Linked DNA regions of Caenorhabditis elegans. The protein of the gene in region 2 interacts with the protein of the main gene of each other region in a pairwise test. Each region holds a gene or a part of one and is shown on either strand. Other genes may lie near its edges.

Region 1 (7,158 bases), 810 kb from region 2:
AGAAGGGCGCGGTGCTAATGCTGGCAGAAGGAAGACTAGCTTCAGATGTCCTTAGAGACAAGAGAGGAAAAAATTGAATTTTCGCTGATAATTTCAGTTTGGCGGGAGAAAGTAAAATGGAAATTTATTGGTATTTACCTATTTCACCTAAATAAATGAAAAATTTCAATAAAAAAATACAAAGAAGCCGAAAACAGAACGAAAATCGGTCAGAAACCTGTGCAAAAATTTAAAATTTAAAGGATCGTGCACAACGTGTGGTCAAAGGTCTCGGCACGATTCATACAATTTTCAAATTAAAGGTATGCGCCTTTAATTGAAGAAGAGAGATTACTGTAATTTTTTAAAGTTATTTTTCGCGAAAAATTGATAAATTGCTGGAAAAGATTTGACTTTACTTGTAAAAGCATAAGTTCAGAATTAAAATATTTTTACAAGGTCCAGATACAAAGATTGTTGCTCTTATTATGACAATTTTCTTTGCCCTAATGATATTGTGTCGTTTCTCCAAACAAAAAAACAAATCAACAAGAACCATTTATATTTAGAAGAAAAGCAGCACCGTGAATATCAATCAAATCTATCGGGATTCACGCCAAGCTCGGAAATGTTCATCGGTATCGTTGAGCACTAGATAAAAAATTTAAAAAAAAAACCGATGGACACCTTTTGAAAACTCGGCACTGGGAACTGACGTTTAACGCTTTAAAACACATAAAATCGGAGCAAAAAAATTGGGGAGGGAACAGAGGACGTTGGAAAAGTGCACCCGGGATGAGAAAAAACGAAGAATCAAAATCAACATGATACAACAATAATCTATTTAACAATTACCTGAAAAACCTTTCTTTTAAGAGATGAAAATGATATAAAAACTAATAGAGAAAGAATTGAACTGTAAAACTGGGAAGAGAACAATGGAGGGAAGCGGAAATGATAAAGACACCTGAGAAAATTATTATTTCGCATCGGATGAAGATCAGTCCATAAAATGATAAGAGAAAGGCCAGTGATGACGATTTAGTCCGAAAAAGCTTATTCCCATTCGGTGGTGCCCGGTGGCTTACAGGTCATGTCCAGAAGAACACGAGAGATACCAAGAACATTGGTTCTGATGGCCTTGTCCATTTCAATAAGAGTCTGAAATATAAATTGATTAGAAAAAAAAACAAATGTTTGTCGAAAACTAACCTCTTCCGGTAAGTGAACTCCTGGAATCGCAGCCTGACCAGTCATAAAGTCCGATGTGACAAACGGACGAAGAACAATCGAGTGCCTGTATGATCCAATCATATCTCTATCACGATCAAAATCAACAGGCAGAAGGACGACTGGCATCTGTTGAATTTTGTGCCCAACATTTGGCAGCTGCGTACCATCCGAAGCAGCGACACGTCCGAATAGAATATTATTGGCGATGTGATCCGCCATTTGAAGTTTAGTGACAATGTGTGGTACAAGATATGTTCTCGTCAGGTCCTCGATCGAAAACTCGATTTTTGATCCAAATGCGTAGACGACTCGATTGACTCCGTGGAACAGCTTCGGGATGACTGAAGCATACGCGAACAGGAGTTTCCATGGAATTGGTCGTTGCTCGGTGGACAGTGCAACTGCATACGAATAGGATCTGGCATCTCCTTGAACACCGACTGTTTTGATTGGAAGAATGTGAGCACTGATTTGGAAGGTTTGTTGCTCGGCGAGTTGGCGATCTCTTTCAGACAGTGATAGTAGAACCTGAAAAACAGAAATAATAGACTCTGGATATAGTTTTCAATAGTGACAACTCACATTGTTCCGTGCCTGCTCGAACTGCAGGTGTTCATAAATTCCTTGACTTGGATTAATTGCAGAATTTAAAAACTGCTCAGTAACATCGATAATTCTTCCTTGCACATCTCCATTATACATCGGACCGTTGAACATCAACTCCGGCCTCTTATCTGATGCACAAAGAATGCGAATCGCAAGACCAGGTCCTGGGAATGGATGTCTCTGCACAATACTTTCAGGCAACCCAAGATCTTTTCCAAGCTCTCTGACTTCATCTTTGTGGAAATCTTTCAGCGGCTCCACAACTTTTCCGAGTTTTCTCAGTTCTCGCACCAAAAATGTGTCATTGTGATGAGTTTTGATAGTGTCCGCGTGTCCCGAAGCAAGAGCACTTGCACTTTCAATTAAATCTGGACGGAGAGTTCCTTGTGCAAGGAAATATTCATCATGATTGATATTCAAGTCCTTCATAATCACATCTTTTACGCGAATAAATGTATTTCCAATGATTTTTCTCTTCATCTCCGGATCATCACACTCATCCAACGCAACTTCTCCATCCTTGCAGTGTTCTGTACTGGAACGGAACGTTGTGCCGAAGTTATACCCTGAAATTAATTTTTTTTTTTGAATTAAAAAAATTTTTTTAAACTCACTGTGAATCGGAAGATCAAGCGCCGCAAGACTCTTCTCAACAGCATCACTCTCCTCATGACGCATGAATCCATTGTCAATATGAATTGCTGTGACCCGATTTGGTCCAAGAGCACGACGGAGCAACGCAGCACAAACAGCCGAGTCGACACCTCCAGACACCATTACGAGTACCTTCTTGTCACCGACAATGCTATTGATCTCCGAAATACACGATTGCTCACGGTTTTGAATAGTGAAATTTCCACAGCATCCGACAACTTTGAAAAGGAAATTCTCGAACATTTTCGTGCCGTTGGTAGTGAGATCTACTTCTGGATGAAACTGGACACCGTACAGCTTGCGGTTCTCGTTACAAATTCCTGCAAAAAGGTTTTGAGATGAAAGTACGAATATTTGATGAGGGGTTAGAAGCATTGGTAAATATTAAAATCAGAAAATTATTATTTAATTTTGTTTTTTTTTGTTTTAAAAAAATGTGAATAAAATTTTCAATAAACTCACCAGCAACATGATGGCCACTTTTGGCCATAACTTTGAAGTCTGGAGCCACCGTAGCCTCTGATACACTGTCTCCGTGAGTTAGCAAGACAGTTTCTGTTTTGTGAAGTCCATTGAACAAATGAACGCTCGTATCGACTTGAATTTCACATGCTCCGTCTTCTCTGATATGCTCTCTTGTTACAGTTCCTCCATTGAGCTTATTCATCAACTGAAATCCGTAACAAATTCCAAGAACTGGCAATCCACAAGTGAAGATTTCTGGATCGATTGACGGGGCTTCTGGTTCGAATACCGAGTTGGGACCACCAGAAATGATGATTCCCTTGAATCCGCCAAGCTCGATGAGTGTACGAGCTGTCGTGTTGAGTGGAAACATCTCTGATTGTACGAGAAGCTCGCGAACACGTCGATCAATAACTTTTCCATATTGTGCTCCAAAGTCGAGGATGGCAATGCGTTCGCCACTTGAAACCTTCTCAACTGGAAGATTCTCGACAAGGGTGACGTGACTTCCTGAAGCTTTTCAACATATTAGTTTTTGTCTTAATTATGAAAATGTGAGTGAATACAAAAATCTAATACAAAAAAAAAGTTATTTTATTCTAAAATCACATTTTCATTGAAATTATCTACTTACCGTTCATATTGGCACTATCAAATCGATCTTCTGGCGCCTTCTTCGGTGGTGGAGCTTTGTTCTGAAATATTATAATTCTGTATGGTATGTATTTTCGGCTTTTTAGAGCAAAATTTGAGAGCTTGTTAAACGTGGAGCCTGCTGACATGCAGCTGCCAAGGCAGATGAAATGAGAGTGAAAATGGCTGAACTGTTAGGAGATAGTGAGAGACGCAGGGCATAGAGTGCAAAATAAGTTGGAAAGAGCAGCTTTTTGACTAAAACTGGCCTGAAAAGTCCGAAAAAAGTAGCCAAACATTGCTAAAATCTAAAATTACTCCAACTTCTCCTAAATTATTATCCTGAATTGCATCTTTTGGTCATTTATCTCTAATTAATTCATTGATTTAGGCACATTTTAAGTAGATAGGCATCAAAATTGGACGCCTACCGACTTAAAATGTGCCTAAATCAACCAAAATATGCAATAAAAGGTGATAATTTCATAAAAACAGTATTCCTCAATGCTTTGAGTGGCTCAAAACCGAGCATCGGGCGGCTTCAAGAGTAGGAAGAAGATGACAGCAAAAAACAAAGAAGAGATAGTTGAAAAGTTCTCTCAGCACAGAAACTGAAATCAAAATCAAACAATGTGAGAGAGAGCGAGAGAGTGGTGAGACGTAGAGATTGAAAAAAAAAGAGAGAAACAAAACCAAAGGGAACCTTTTGAATGACGACAAGAGGAAAGGAGAGAGCAGAACCAGTGCTGTAACAGAGAAAAAGAAATAATGACGAAAAAGATAAAAGTCAGGAGAGAGAGAGAGAGAAATGGTGGAAAATCATATTAAAGATAATATTTTAAAAAAGTGCTGCTGTACTTGGAAAAATTGCAAAATTTTTCAACTAGACCCTAGTTTCCTAGTTTTCCAGCATTTTAGTGTTCGGCTGGGAGAATATAACTACGATTTCGTCGAGGAGAATTTTCTACCAAGAAAATATATTTTCCAGTGAAAAACGCTTATCCCATGAGAAAAACCAAGGAATTCTCACTGAAAATTGTGATAAATAAGACAAAAACTGCCAACAAATATTAAAATATACTCGGTTTTTAGACGAAAACTATCAAGAAACGGCGCAGTAATCCTGAAAATCAGATAGAAAGTTCTAGAAAAGCCGGTATAATCTGAACTCCACGTCAATTAGGTCACCTAGTTTCGATATATCACTGGATTAACGTGAACATTTTTATTTATTTAAAAAGAAAACCCTTCAGGTTACAGGAAAATTAGCTTTTTTTCGCGAAAAAACATGTAATTTGAGCGCCGAAACATATGGTGGAACCCCCCTTGAACAGAAAAGTCGGCATGTGGCTTTAGTGACAACTGATCTTTTGTCTTCAGAGGAAGATATTGTGATTCTAGAGAACTTTGAACTATTTGGAGTCGGAAAAAACAGAATGTAGTTGCGGAGAATGCAATAAAATTGCAATTATTTCTTTTCTTTTATAGTGACGATTTCAGGGAAAATTGTAAAAGCCCTTTGCAGCGATAAAATAATTAAATTCAACGAAAATTCAAAAAAGAAATCCATTAGCAAAGCGGCAAGATCAAAAGAAAAGTACAAGTTCTGACCGTGGAATGTTGACTGTCCTCGTTGATGTCCAACATTGAACTCGATCTTTTCATAGTATGCTCACTGACTTTCGAGACGGCCTTTGTTCTTTTTGCACGCTGAAGCTAGGTTATAATGATTTGAAGTCAATGGAAAGTGGAATTTTTTGGCAATTTATAATGAAAACCTCCTTAAAACGCACGTTTAAACGTTGAAAATGCTTTTTTTCGTTTTTTAACGTTGAAAACCAAATCGGGAGCCAATTTACAGAAATGTGCGCGAATTTTCACCCAGTTTTTCAAAATTTTCACATTTAAATACTCACTTCAGATGGAAGGTTGCGGCAGTGACGTTTACTCTGACGCGCTCCAATTTTGACTCGTTTTGGCTGCAATTACTGAAATAACAAAATTTAGTGGATTCGGTGTTTTCTCGGAGATGAAGCGATGAGAATGTACAGAACACGGATAAACTTGCGATGAAAATTTCATGTCAATTAATTTAAAATTAATTTTTTCGGTTTATTAACATAAAAATTGACGGAAAAAACTTAAATTTAAAAGCTCGAAGAAAAAAACAAAAATTTGAAGAACTCTGGCGAAACGCCAAAAGCTCGCGGGTCTCGCCGCGATTTGCCGACGAGAGTGACTATGGGTACGGTGGAGGGACGAGAGAGTGAGAGAAACGGAGTGTAAAATCAATGAAGTGGTCGCTCCGTTTCGCAACTTTCCTGCTTTCTAATGGCTTTTAAAATATATTTTTGCGAAATTTAATCTTATTTGTGAACTAAAAAATCATTACCCAATCGTTTAGAGTCTTTTTATGTTTTTAATAGGTTGTAACGACTTAAAATCTGACATAAAAGTTTATTGTTTCAGGGAGCACACCCACATCCGGCTCGAAACTATCAAAAATGGTATTTTAATAAATATTTTAAAAACAATTTATAATAAATATTTACCAGGGAGAACAACAGCTCGATTGTGCCCTCGACTTGATGCGAAGACTTCCTCCACAACACTGCGACAAGAATTTGACGGACCTCATCGATCTGTGCCCTCATCTTGTTGATGATCTTCTCAGTATGTTTCCTTTTTAACTAATTTAAAAAAATTCGCTTGATGGTTTTAGGCACTATCGATCAACCGCTGAAAATCGCCGCGGACCGTGAGACCGGCAAACAGTATTTGCTTTGTGACTACAATCGAGATGGCGATAGCTACAGGTATGAGTCATTTTATTTGAAATCTATCGATTTTTTCTGATAATTCAGATCACCATGGAGTAATACCTATGATCCACCACTCGAGGATGGACAATTGCCATCGGAAAAGCGCAGAAAAATGGAAATCGAGGCAAATGCCGCTTTTGAGTCATACCGTGATTTGTAAGTTGACAGAAAAATCATATATTTGCTCATAAATAATAATAATTTCCAGATACTTCGAGGGAGGCGTCTCATCAGTTTACTTCTGGGACTTGGATAATGGAGGTTTCGCCGGAATTGTGCTCATCAAGAAAGAGGGAGACGGAGCCAAAAATATAACAGGATGTTGGGATTCTATTCACGTTATTGAGATCACGGAAAGAGTTGGTTCAAAAACTGTTGAAGAGTTTTTTTTTTTAATTTATAATTTTCCAGGCACGCCAGGCTCACTACAAGCTCACCTCCACTATCATGCTGTGGCTGCAGACAAACAAAAGCTCCAGCGGTGTGATGAACCTCGGTGGCTCCCTTACAAGACAGGTTTTGGTTTCGAGTTGTGAATATATTTAAAAAGAAATATTATAGCATGAGATGGATGCACCAATCAACGATCAGAACACACACTTGGCTAATATGGGACGAATGATTGAGGATCAGGAGTCGAAAATGCGTCTGACGATCAATGAGATATACTTTGGAAAGACGAAGAAGGTAAGCAAAATGCAAATTTATTATATGAAAAAAGTTTCATTTTTAAAAAGTACAATTTTCGAAAAAAATATTTTCCAGG
Region 2 (5,358 bases):
AAAAAGTGGAAAAATGCTCCGCCGATTCTTGCTCGTCTCGTTCCATTTGCTGCTATTGCATTCGCCAATGCAATTAATATTCCTATGATGAGAAACAAGTGAGAATCAGATTAAAAGACATTTTAATAATTTATTTGTTTCAGAGAATTTACAAATGGAATTCCAGTTGAAGATGGTGAAGGTAGAACAATGGGATTTTCAACAGTTGCACCTGGTCATGCTATTCCACAAGTTGTGCTCAGTCGTGTTGGAATGGCGGTTCCAAATATGGTTCTAGGACCAGTGATCTTGGAGCAACTTTCCAAAACTGCATGGTATACACCTGGAATGGCTGCACCTCTTCAAACATTGCTCTGTGGATTCATGTTGGCTTTTTCCACACCAATTTGTTGTGCTCTTTTCCCACAGAAAAGCTCAATTCAAGTTGATAAGCTGGAGCTTTCACTTCAAGATCATATCAACAAGTTGGCAAATCCCCCGAAAGTGGTGTACTACAACAAAGGACTCTGAACTCAATTAGATAATAGATTTATTGTACATTATTATGGTATCTTATGATCATCACATGAATAAGGCCACTTATCAATATTTGCGTCCGAATAAATACTACCGGCATTATGCTTACCGATTAATAAAACAATTTGAGGGTCAAGCAATACTTTGGGCGTTAAATATTTTGATTCTTGATGTTTCGAAGTAGATTCCCGAATGTTGAACAGATAGCCTCCAGACGTATGGCACAAAGAAATCGACAGTGTACTCATCCTCCACGTATCGGAACTTCAATTCTGGGAACTTTGCGAGTCGATCGGTTGGCCATATGTTTGCCTCCTTCTCGATTATTTGCAGCATTGTGGATCCATCGCCTGCTGGGACATGTATCACTTTCGACGAGAAGTGAGAGATTACTGCTGCGATGTTAACAAGAAGATCTTGGAACATTGGGTGCTGAACGTATGCATCGAATAGAGCACGATGGTAGAGAAGGTTGTAGATGAGGTGTGAATTGTGACGGAGTCCTCCACAAAGTGCACTGTTGATGATCTCAAGGAGAGTTCGAATTCCTTCTTCGAGAGCAGTAATGTCGTCATGCTGAAATATTATACTTTTTATTTGGATTTTTGAACAAAATATGAACTTACGAAATTGATCGGCTGTCCATCTGCAACATCATTCTGACTGCTGACTCTCATATGATCCACCATTTTAGCATGCCGTTTTGTTAGAAGATCAAGCAGTGATATGAGTCTTTGGCAAACAATTGGAGCAAGATTTTTGAAGAAAGCTGACATGTTTGCAAGAGCAGCTAAGCAGTTTGTGTGAAGATATCGGTCCTGGAAAAATTTGAGTTTGGTTTAAAAAAAAACAAAATTTTGTATCTTCAGGTAGCAACTGTCGGTTTTTCGCTTTTTCAATTGTTCGATTTTTCGATTTTTAAAAAAGGAGCTTGATATATTGGCCATTATTCTTCTTTTTAGATGAAACTTTTATGTTTGTTCTTATCAATATAAACAAAATTAGATAAAAAATCATATTTTATGGTTAATTTTCTGAACATTTTTTTCGATTTTTCGATTTCCACTGAAAAACGTCAAAAAATCGAAAAAAAAATTGAAAAATGACACCCTTGGTAGCAACAACTAACTCTAGTTTTCAAAGCATTCTTCTGAATTGCTCGAACCAGCACAAGAGTTGTCAAACCTCCGAGAGAGATCTCGCGGACACTGAAATCACTGTCCAGCCAGCCGAGATCCTTGATCATCTGCAAATATATACTTCAATATAATCTTAGCATTTCTAGTGAAAACTCACCGTCTCGTGTATAATCTTGCAGAAAATATCATCTTCACTGAGAATCAAGGCGACAATCAATGCAAGATAAACATGGTGAGAGTTGTTCGATGTCGCGACACCGTCGTGAAGAATTCGAAGAACAGGAACAACTAGATTCTCGAGGTTGATCCGAGACAACACATAGTTCCGGAATCCCGAGTTCGCCTGTAGAAGCATGTAGAGTAGAAGCATCGGAGGTTCCTGGCCAGCGGTAGCACACAATCTTTCGTATAATCCATTATAATCGATTTTGAACGACACAATCTGAGTAGGCAATGTGGATACTTCTTGAGCATTTTGGAAGAGAGCAAGGGTTTCTTTGAATGGATTGGATGAATTGAGAGGTTGATGGCATGAAAGATTGAGGAGAAGCAGGATGCTTAAGTTTCCAAGAGTAAGTGGGGGCTTCTTTTCTTCCTCTGCGGAGTCGATACCAGTTGCCATTTGGACCATTGACCACATTGATGCTTAAAAATCGTGTTTTTTTTTTAATTTAATAAAGAATTAAAAAAGATTTTCAGTGACATACAAGCTAATCCAAAAACAATGCTCTCTTGTGGCTTTTGTACAGTCATGTGATACTCTGAATTGTGGATCAAATAATTGAGAAGAAGAGTTTTAGTGAGCGAAGCTGCGTGTTTCGCACATGATCCATCAATAAAGAATCTGAAGACAATTGAAGTATTCACAATTGATTCATTATATAGTTGAGAGCTCAGGAGAGTTAGGAGACATCGAACTGCTTCGACATGGATTGCCAATGTTGTTTCGCTGAAATTATTTTAATTCAATTTTTTAAAAAATAATTTAAAACTCACTTTACAGAAATATTGATTAAAATCGAAACCAGCTCATACGTGAACTCTTCTGCAGTGTTTTGAAAAACTATCGGGATATATTTTGTCGCTGAAAACGTCAGAATTTGATTATTATTGAATTTTTTTTTTAAATGAAGCTTATTTACCTCCATTATTATTTTCGTTTTCTGATTTCTGTTCGTCATCATCTTCCTCATCCGACGAGGAAGATGTAGACGACGATTCGGTTTCCGTACTCTCATGACTTTTGGCGAAAATCCTCACGAATTCTTTTTCCGTCATACGTTGAGTTAAAAATCTGGCGATGTAACGAAGAATGAGAAGAGCGTTTGATGTTTGCCATAAGTAGATTTTACTGAAATAAGAAAAAGCTTTAATTAAATATAATGATGATTTTTTTTTCCAACTCACTTTTCGCATTGTTCTGATGTTTTTAGTTCTGTGGCTCTGCGAAGGAAAAGTCGAATAAATGCAGCGAAATTTCCTGTTGTTTGTGTATTGTACATTAGACATTGAAGATGATCATCTAAAGCAGATTCCAAAGCGATTCGGGTGTCTCTAAACGATTATAACATTTTTAAAGCTTTTGCCTAATTTTAATCCTTACTCGTCGTCATCATCAAACTTGAGACTGAAAGAGAGAAGTTTGTTCCAAAATGGGTCATAATCGTCGACAGGTTCCAAACCGCTGAGTTTCTTCAGATAAATATTCTCCTGTAAGACCGTTTCCTTGGTTATAACTGATCCCATGTGTCTGAAATTTGTTATTACACTGTTAATAATCATAAAAATAAAAGAAAAAGTCAAGAAAGGGTCAAATATTAATCAGGTCACATCTTTTTTATTCAATAAAATCTCCTCTCTCGTTCGTGGCAATGCACGTGAAATGCGCCAACAACCGCGAGTGCGCCAACACACACACATACGCGTCAGCAGACAATTCGCTCTCGTTTGAAATTTAGTTGTTTCTTTGTTTCTGCTGAAATAATGTCAGTTTTCCGATAATTTCAGCGTTTTCTGACTGATTTTTCTTGTTGCATTCACTTCCTAATAGTTCATTCTACTCCATTCTTCATTTTATAATCTGTTTCCTTCGCAATTTAGTGAATTAAACACGTAAATCTTGTTTCAGATAAATTATTCAAATAGTTGCACAAAGCTCAATAGTTTAGAAGTATCTTCAGTGCTGGTCACTAATACAAAATGGATCCGGCTATGGCTTCTCCAGGCTATCGGTCTGTGCAGTCCGATCGGAGTAATCACCTAACAGAGCTGGAAACGAGAATTCAAAATCTTGCCGATAATTCACAAAGAGATGATGTCAAATTGAAAATGTTACAAGTTAGTTTCAATAATTCGTGTTAAGTAATCAATTTGTTCGGTTGCAGGAGATTTGGAGCACAATCGAAAATCATTTCACACTAAGTTCGCACGAGAAAGTCGTGGAGAGGCTCATTCTCTCGTTCCTACAAGTTTTCTGCAACACAAGTCCACAGTTCATTGCTGAAAACAATACACAACAGCTTCGAAAGTTAATGCTTGAAATCATTCTTCGACTTTCGAACGTAGAAGCCATGAAACATCATAGCAAAGAAATTATCAAGCAGATGATGAGGCTAATCACCGTGGAAAATGAGGAGAATGCCAATTTGGCTATCAAAATTGTCACCGATCAAGGGAGAAGTACCGGCAAAATGCAATATTGCGGAGAGGTTTCACAGATAATGGTCTCCTTCAAAACAATGGTCATTGATCTGACGGCGAGTGGTCGAGCTGGTGATATGTTCAACATAAAAGAGCATAAAGCTCCACCGTCAACTAGCTCCGACGAGCAAGTCATCACTGAATATTTGAAGACTTGCTACTATCAACAAACGGTTCTTCTCAACGGAACGGAAGGAAAACCGCCATTAAAATACAATATGATTCCATCAGCTCATCAGTCAACGAAGGTGCTCCTGGAGGTTCCGTATCTCGTGATTTTCTTCTATCAACATTTCAAAACAGCGATCCAAACCGAAGCGCTTGATTTCATGAGGCTTGGTCTTGATTTTCTAAATGTCAGAGTTCCAGACGAGGATAAACTCAAAACAAATCAAATAATAACCGATGATTTTGTCAGTGCACAGTCCCGATTCCTGTCATTCGTCAACATTATGGCTAAGATTCCAGCGGTAAGTTTCGTTTTTTCAAGTTTTTTTTCTGTAATCCTGATTTTTATTTTTCAGTTTATGGATCTTATCATGCAAAATGGACCGCTTCTAGTGTCGGGAACAATGCAGATGCTCGAGCGGTGCCCGGCTGATCTGATAAGTGTCCGACGAGAAGTTCTGATGGCTTTGAAGTATTTCACATCTGGAGAAATGAAGTCGAAATTCTTTCCAATGCTACCTCGACTCATCGCTGAGGAGGTTGTTCTGGGAACAGGATTCACTGCGATTGAGCATTTGCGAGTTTTCATGTATCAAATGCTAGCAGATCTGTTGCATCACATGCGAAATTCTATAGACTATGAAATGATCACACAGTAAGTTTGAATAAGACTTTCTGATGAAAAATGTTGAAATTTCAGCGTGATTTTCGTATTCTGTCGCACTCTTCACGATCCTAACAACTCTTCTCAAGTCCAGATTATGTCTGCTCGGCTGCTCAACTCACTGGCCGAATCTCTGTGCAAAATGGATTCACATGATACCGTAAGACTTAT
Region 3 (4,880 bases), on a different chromosome or scaffold from region 2:
TGAAAACAAACAAGCTAAACACTTTAAAAGTTTTTGAAAAGGTACATTGAAACCTTTGCCATTTTTTTTAGTTTTTGTCAGCTTGAAGTGAATCATATATGAAACAATTCGATGTATTAAAAATCCTTGGCTAAAGTTTAAAAAAATGCATAATTTGGTACCTTGAATTATTATAATACTTCAAAGTAGAATGTTTCTGCTTCTTGGTAATTTCTTTTTGAATGAGAAATATCTATACACGGATTGAAAATTTTTAAAGCACAGTTACAGATTATTGTTTATTGGAAAAATCACTGTAAATGAAACATTTGAAAAAAAATTAAATCCGGAAGATATACTCAGACTTTTTATTTTGACCCGGGTGCATTCTAAACTACAAGCGGAAGAAAATAAGTAGTTTTGCACAAACCACGGAGTTCAAAAGAGAAGGAAACCCTTCAATTAATGCAAATCACTAACTTTGTCTTCTTGTTTTGGAGCACTTTAATTCACTAATTGTTGCGGTGAGTTCAAGCTTTATACAGAGAATCTAGTTTTCTAAATATTTATCAAAATCCAACAAAATCAAATAATTTAAACACAAATCGGGGAAAAAACAAAAAAACTGATTTTGGACAACAGTTAATTTCAATCAATTTAACAAAAAACTCAGAAGGCTATTCTATCAAGAACTTTTAGGAAAATGAAAGGAGGTAGGATTAATGGGAACTGGAATTATTGGAAAGCCAGGAACCATGGGGATATTCTGGAGGTTTTGCATATTTTGAAGATACATATTTTGAAGCAATGTAGCAAGAATTTGAGGATTTTGCATACAAAGTTGGTGAATGTTTTGGGTTGGAAGCTGAGGGATTGGAAAATGTTGTTGCATTGGTGGAAACTTGGCCACTTTGCTTTTTTGGCGACGAAGCTTTCCGCAGTTGTTGCTGATATAAACATCAGTTCCTAAATCCGCAGTCATTGCCCAGTAGCTGCCTGAAAAGAAACACTATTATTCTATTAAGTCCTGTTAAAACACAAACCTTTTCCATCCAAAGTTCGAACCTTTCGGAACTCTTTATGCAAAGACAAGTTGTGGCGAACCGAGTTTTGCCATTGAAGTGGCTTCTGGTTTTTGTAGTAGGAGAAGTTGGAAGAAATATATTTGTAGATCTCGGAGACTCTCAAACTTTTGAATGGACTGCTCTGAATAGCCATGGCGATCAATGCATTGTACGAGTATTTTGGTCTTTTGGTTGGTGATTCGGTGGAGCTTGAGACTAAAAATTATAAAGATATGTAAATTTTTTGGTAAACATAGTAATTAAAAATCTGCTGAATGTATGAAACTATCATAGTAGTGAAACACTTGACAATTTTAAAAACAAAATATTTTGCCTTACCTGGTGAATTTCTACCAGACTGTTGTTGACCGACTGATTCAGAGCGGGTGTGGAAGGAAGAAGCTGGAACAAATATTAAATTACATATGCGCACATTTTAAGCGTTGTTTGAAACTGTTTGAAACAGTAGAAAAATTAACCTGGTGAAACGGAGCAAGAGCTGGAAGTTGAGCTGTCCAAGTCGAGGCACAAGTCCGAGATGTTGAAGCCCTTCATTTTTGAATTACCTGAAATTTGTAGTTACAGAAATAAATAAATCTGAAAGTCGGTGTCAGGGAAAGAGAAATCAGATTATTTTGGAAGAACAAAGATTTAACTATTCTGTAAACTTTGAATTAGCTCTACGAAGCATCTCGAGTATTTGAGTCAGCAATTCATGAGAGAACACACACAGCTCAACAAGAAATTTAATTATGCACAGCTAAAATTAACGCGTTGAAAAATTGCTGTAACGAAAACAAGTTTAGAAAATGGAAACAAAACTTATTAAAACATTGAAACAGTAAAATATTTAAGTCAGTCCCATATTAAATGTATAATCTAGCCCATCTCCTCACTTTTTCCAGTTCATCACCCACGATATCTGGTGATGTGTTCAATTTACAGGTGGTGCTGACAAATACATCTGCAACTCGCATCTTCTGCATGAACAATACCTGGACTTTAGTGCCCGTTCATCAACCATGAAATGTACCGTATATTCTATATTAGAGCGGCATGCCGCACTAATTTCCGGGCCCTTCGCGACGTGCGCTCTATTAGAGACTGCCGTTCTACTGGATACTGCCGCACTAATTTTCGATAACTAATTTTCATATTGAAGTTACTACTTTTGGGAGTAGTAACCTCAAAATTTCCTTCTAAAACCTCATATTTTATGGAAAAAATTTATGAAAATTGTGTAATTTTGCCTCACAGAGACACTAAAATTCAATATTTAAATGAAAATTTATGAATTCATTCAAGAATGAACAAAAATGTCTTCGAAGAAATCAAATAATTGAGGTGGCTCTCGCACCCAAAAAAAAAGGGGTGCCGCACTAATAGAGACTGTCGCTCTAATTTTCGAAGAGCCAGTTAGGGTGCCGCTCTAATAGATACGCCGTACTATTAGATACGCCGCTCTAATAGAGAATATACGGTAGATGGTATATTAATAGAGCTAAATGCTAGTATTTTTGCTAAATAAACTAAACATTTTTATGCACATGTAAAACATTGAACTTTTCGCAAAATGTTTTTTTTTTGCTAGGACTGTGTGGAAAATTATTTAGACGAATAATTAAAAGGTTAAAAAGTACTTTTCTCTCCTACTCCTCGTATACTACAACAATCCTCGAATAGAACCTATTGTCTTTAACTAACGTTGAAACAGTGAAATAAATTAACTGTTTTTGACACATAATGGTTTCGAAGAAGAGCCCAAATAACTTTTCCGCAAATTTCCGACCGTAACCCAAATCCAATTCACACCCTATCATAGCACCTACTCAACACAATGATGGGAAACCAATCCCGACGCTTTTTGCGCAAACTTGGCAAAAAAGTTGAAACAATGAGTGTGAATTGCTCTGTGAACACATAAACCGACGCAATATACATCTGCCAATTATGTAATGGATATGGGATTTCGACAAAGTTTTTTTACAAGCTTGGGAAAAATTAGAAAAAATTTTTGTGCTTTCGAAAAAAAATTACTGTTTCATGAAATTGTTGTACTTACAACGAATTTTCAAACCCCCGATGCTTTCCTTCAACTATGTATTAGCATTGCAACTTACCTGGAGATGCGGTTTTCGGCGGTGTTGGAGGAAGTGAAGAACAGTTATCCAAATCGAGCAGAAATTGTGGAGCATCAGATTTGATTGATGACGTCATCTAAATGTATTATTATGTAGTAGTAAAAGAAAACAATTTATACTAATAAGTTTGAAAGCCGACTGCGGAATATTAAAAAGATTGTGAAACAGAATAAAATGTTTTGATGAATACACTTAACAAGCAGACGATGCCAAAACTAGGAGTTGTTGTGTTCTAATTAGTAATGAACTATTTTTCAAGCGCCTTGTTTATAAAAATATTGATTAAAATGAAATTTAAAATCAAAGCAGGTAACCAGTGGAAAATTAAAATTGTTCTTATGAAAACAATTTGGAACTAGAGATTTGGTAAATTATCAATAACCGCAGTAGTCGAAAATTGAAACAAACAATTGGCTTGATAATTGTAGTTTATGTATGATTGTCGGGGCGATAGATAGTAAAATTAACCGACGTGTGTGGTTCAACAAGTAATCTGGGAATAGAAATCAAATTCAAACTTTTTTGGGAGACATTTCAGAATTGAAAAAAAACAATGAATGCGAGATTTTTATCGGGAAGATAAAACAGTGTTATACGATACAACTACCAGAAAATTTGAAGTAATGTTTCAAAAATATGGTAAAGCGCCAAACAATTTTTATCTAATTCTCAACAATCTACAGATATTTAAAATTTTCACGGTACCTCCTAGATTACATCATTTTCAAAAAGTACAACACAAGCGCAACAAAAAAGTGGAAGTGTTTAAAAAGAAAAAGTATCAGCACCTGTTAGATGGTAAAAACATTAGTAGAAGATACTCACAGCCTCACACTATATGGGTGTCTGTCTCGAGAGGAAAGTGGCAAATAAGAAGAGGAGGAGTTGTAAAACATCTGCTCTGTCGCTGGGGGTACAATACCACCGCCCATATCATACTTTTTTTCAAACTCCCTTTGCCGGCGGTCAGTAGGTCAACAGAACACCATCGTTGTAAATCAGAGAAGAGTCCATAAAAATATTAGGACTGTCGTGGGATAAAGAGGAATCATTGGGATTTACACCTTTTTGATATTACCTTGTTGGCAAAATTTGTCAGGAAAATAGGTCTCAAAACAACACATTTTTGTCAATTGACAAAAAATTAGGAATGAGAAAATTAGACGAAATATGGAAATGTCAGAAGATTGGAATTTCGGTAGAAACTACGGAGAAGAAGTTAAGGTACTTTTGAAACACACACTCGTTTACTTTCATCATAATTTTGCCACTTTTGTAGATGAAACGATTCTTGATAACAAAAAAAGATTTGCAAAGGAGGAAAACCAAACCTTGAAGTTTTTGTTTTGTTCTTCGGAAGTTGACTTTTTGTTTTATCTTATCCAGACAACCTTGAATTATAGAATTTTGGTACAATGTTGGCTTCTGCCTTCAAGTTAGGCTTTGGCCGGCTTTTTCCGGCGATGAAAAAGTTTTTGAGTCCGGGACAAGTGAAATTGACAATCAAAACTGTTGAAAACTGCACCGTGCAAAGCGTACAGAATAGTAAAAGTGATTTAAATAACCTTTGTAATGCATTTCTTCAGCTTTTAAGAGAAATTTCAATTTTTGCAGTTGATAAACTCAACTACTCTGAAATTGAGATTTTTTTTGAATACCCCTTCATGGAATTGTGGGAAAAGTTTCAGAGAAAATT

Evidence for each region. Proteins that work in one complex are often made in the same cells at the same time.
Region 1: the proteins of C47D12.2 (region 2) and gmps-1 interact in a two-hybrid assay, tested with the Caenorhabditis elegans proteins (one large-scale study listed by BioGRID).
Region 3: the proteins of C47D12.2 (region 2) and pes-1 interact in a two-hybrid assay, tested with the Caenorhabditis elegans proteins (one large-scale study listed by BioGRID).

What each region holds. Positions count from the first base shown.
Region 1 is NC_003280.10:10,863,157-10,870,314, forward strand, and holds gmps-1 (putative GMP synthase [glutamine-hydrolyzing]), read right to left. Parts: upstream 5,559-7,158; 5' UTR 5,487-5,558; intron 5,287-5,486; 5' UTR 5,236-5,286; coding exon 5,182-5,235; intron 4,017-5,181; exon of another isoform or gene 3,960-4,016; intron 3,633-3,959; coding exon 3,572-3,632; intron 3,454-3,571; coding exon 2,935-3,453; intron 2,793-2,934; coding exon 2,433-2,792; intron 2,385-2,432; coding exon 1,795-2,384; intron 1,741-1,794; coding exon 1,192-1,740; intron 1,141-1,191; coding exon 1,036-1,140; 3' UTR 526-1,035; downstream 1-525. Other genes in the region: cap-2 (F-actin-capping protein subunit beta), read left to right, coding at 6,075-6,077, 6,126-6,243, 6,293-6,386, 6,435-6,548, 6,601-6,751, 6,804-6,908, 6,954-7,079, 7,158-7,158.
Region 2 is NC_003280.10:11,674,353-11,679,710, reverse strand, and holds C47D12.2 (Dymeclin), read right to left. Parts: upstream 3,406-5,358; 5' UTR 3,402-3,405; coding exon 3,259-3,401; intron 3,210-3,258; coding exon 3,063-3,209; intron 3,007-3,062; coding exon 2,798-3,006; intron 2,740-2,797; coding exon 2,652-2,739; intron 2,605-2,651; coding exon 2,363-2,604; intron 2,301-2,362; coding exon 1,813-2,300; intron 1,763-1,812; coding exon 1,646-1,762; intron 1,335-1,645; coding exon 1,143-1,334; intron 1,093-1,142; coding exon 649-1,092; 3' UTR 514-648; downstream 1-513. Other genes in the region: sfxn-1.4 (Sidoreflexin), read left to right, coding at 1-98, 144-510; trr-1 (Transcription-associated protein 1), read left to right, coding at 3,855-3,992, 4,040-4,825, 4,880-5,178, 5,224-5,347.
Region 3 is NC_003282.8:5,001,132-5,006,011, reverse strand, and holds pes-1 (Forkhead box protein pes-1), read right to left. Parts: upstream 3,265-4,880; 5' UTR 3,261-3,264; coding exon 3,164-3,260; intron 3,148-3,163; exon of another isoform or gene 3,127-3,147; intron 2,712-3,126; exon of another isoform or gene 2,691-2,711; intron 1,840-2,690; exon of another isoform or gene 1,819-1,839; intron 1,610-1,818; coding exon 1,523-1,609; intron 1,446-1,522; coding exon 1,383-1,445; intron 1,304-1,382; exon of another isoform or gene 1,283-1,303; intron 1,260-1,282; coding exon 1,023-1,259; intron 976-1,022; coding exon 665-975; 3' UTR 526-664; downstream 1-525. UniProt on the Caenorhabditis elegans protein: Transcription factor. Plays a role in embryogenesis and later development, perhaps acting redundantly with forkhead protein fkh-2.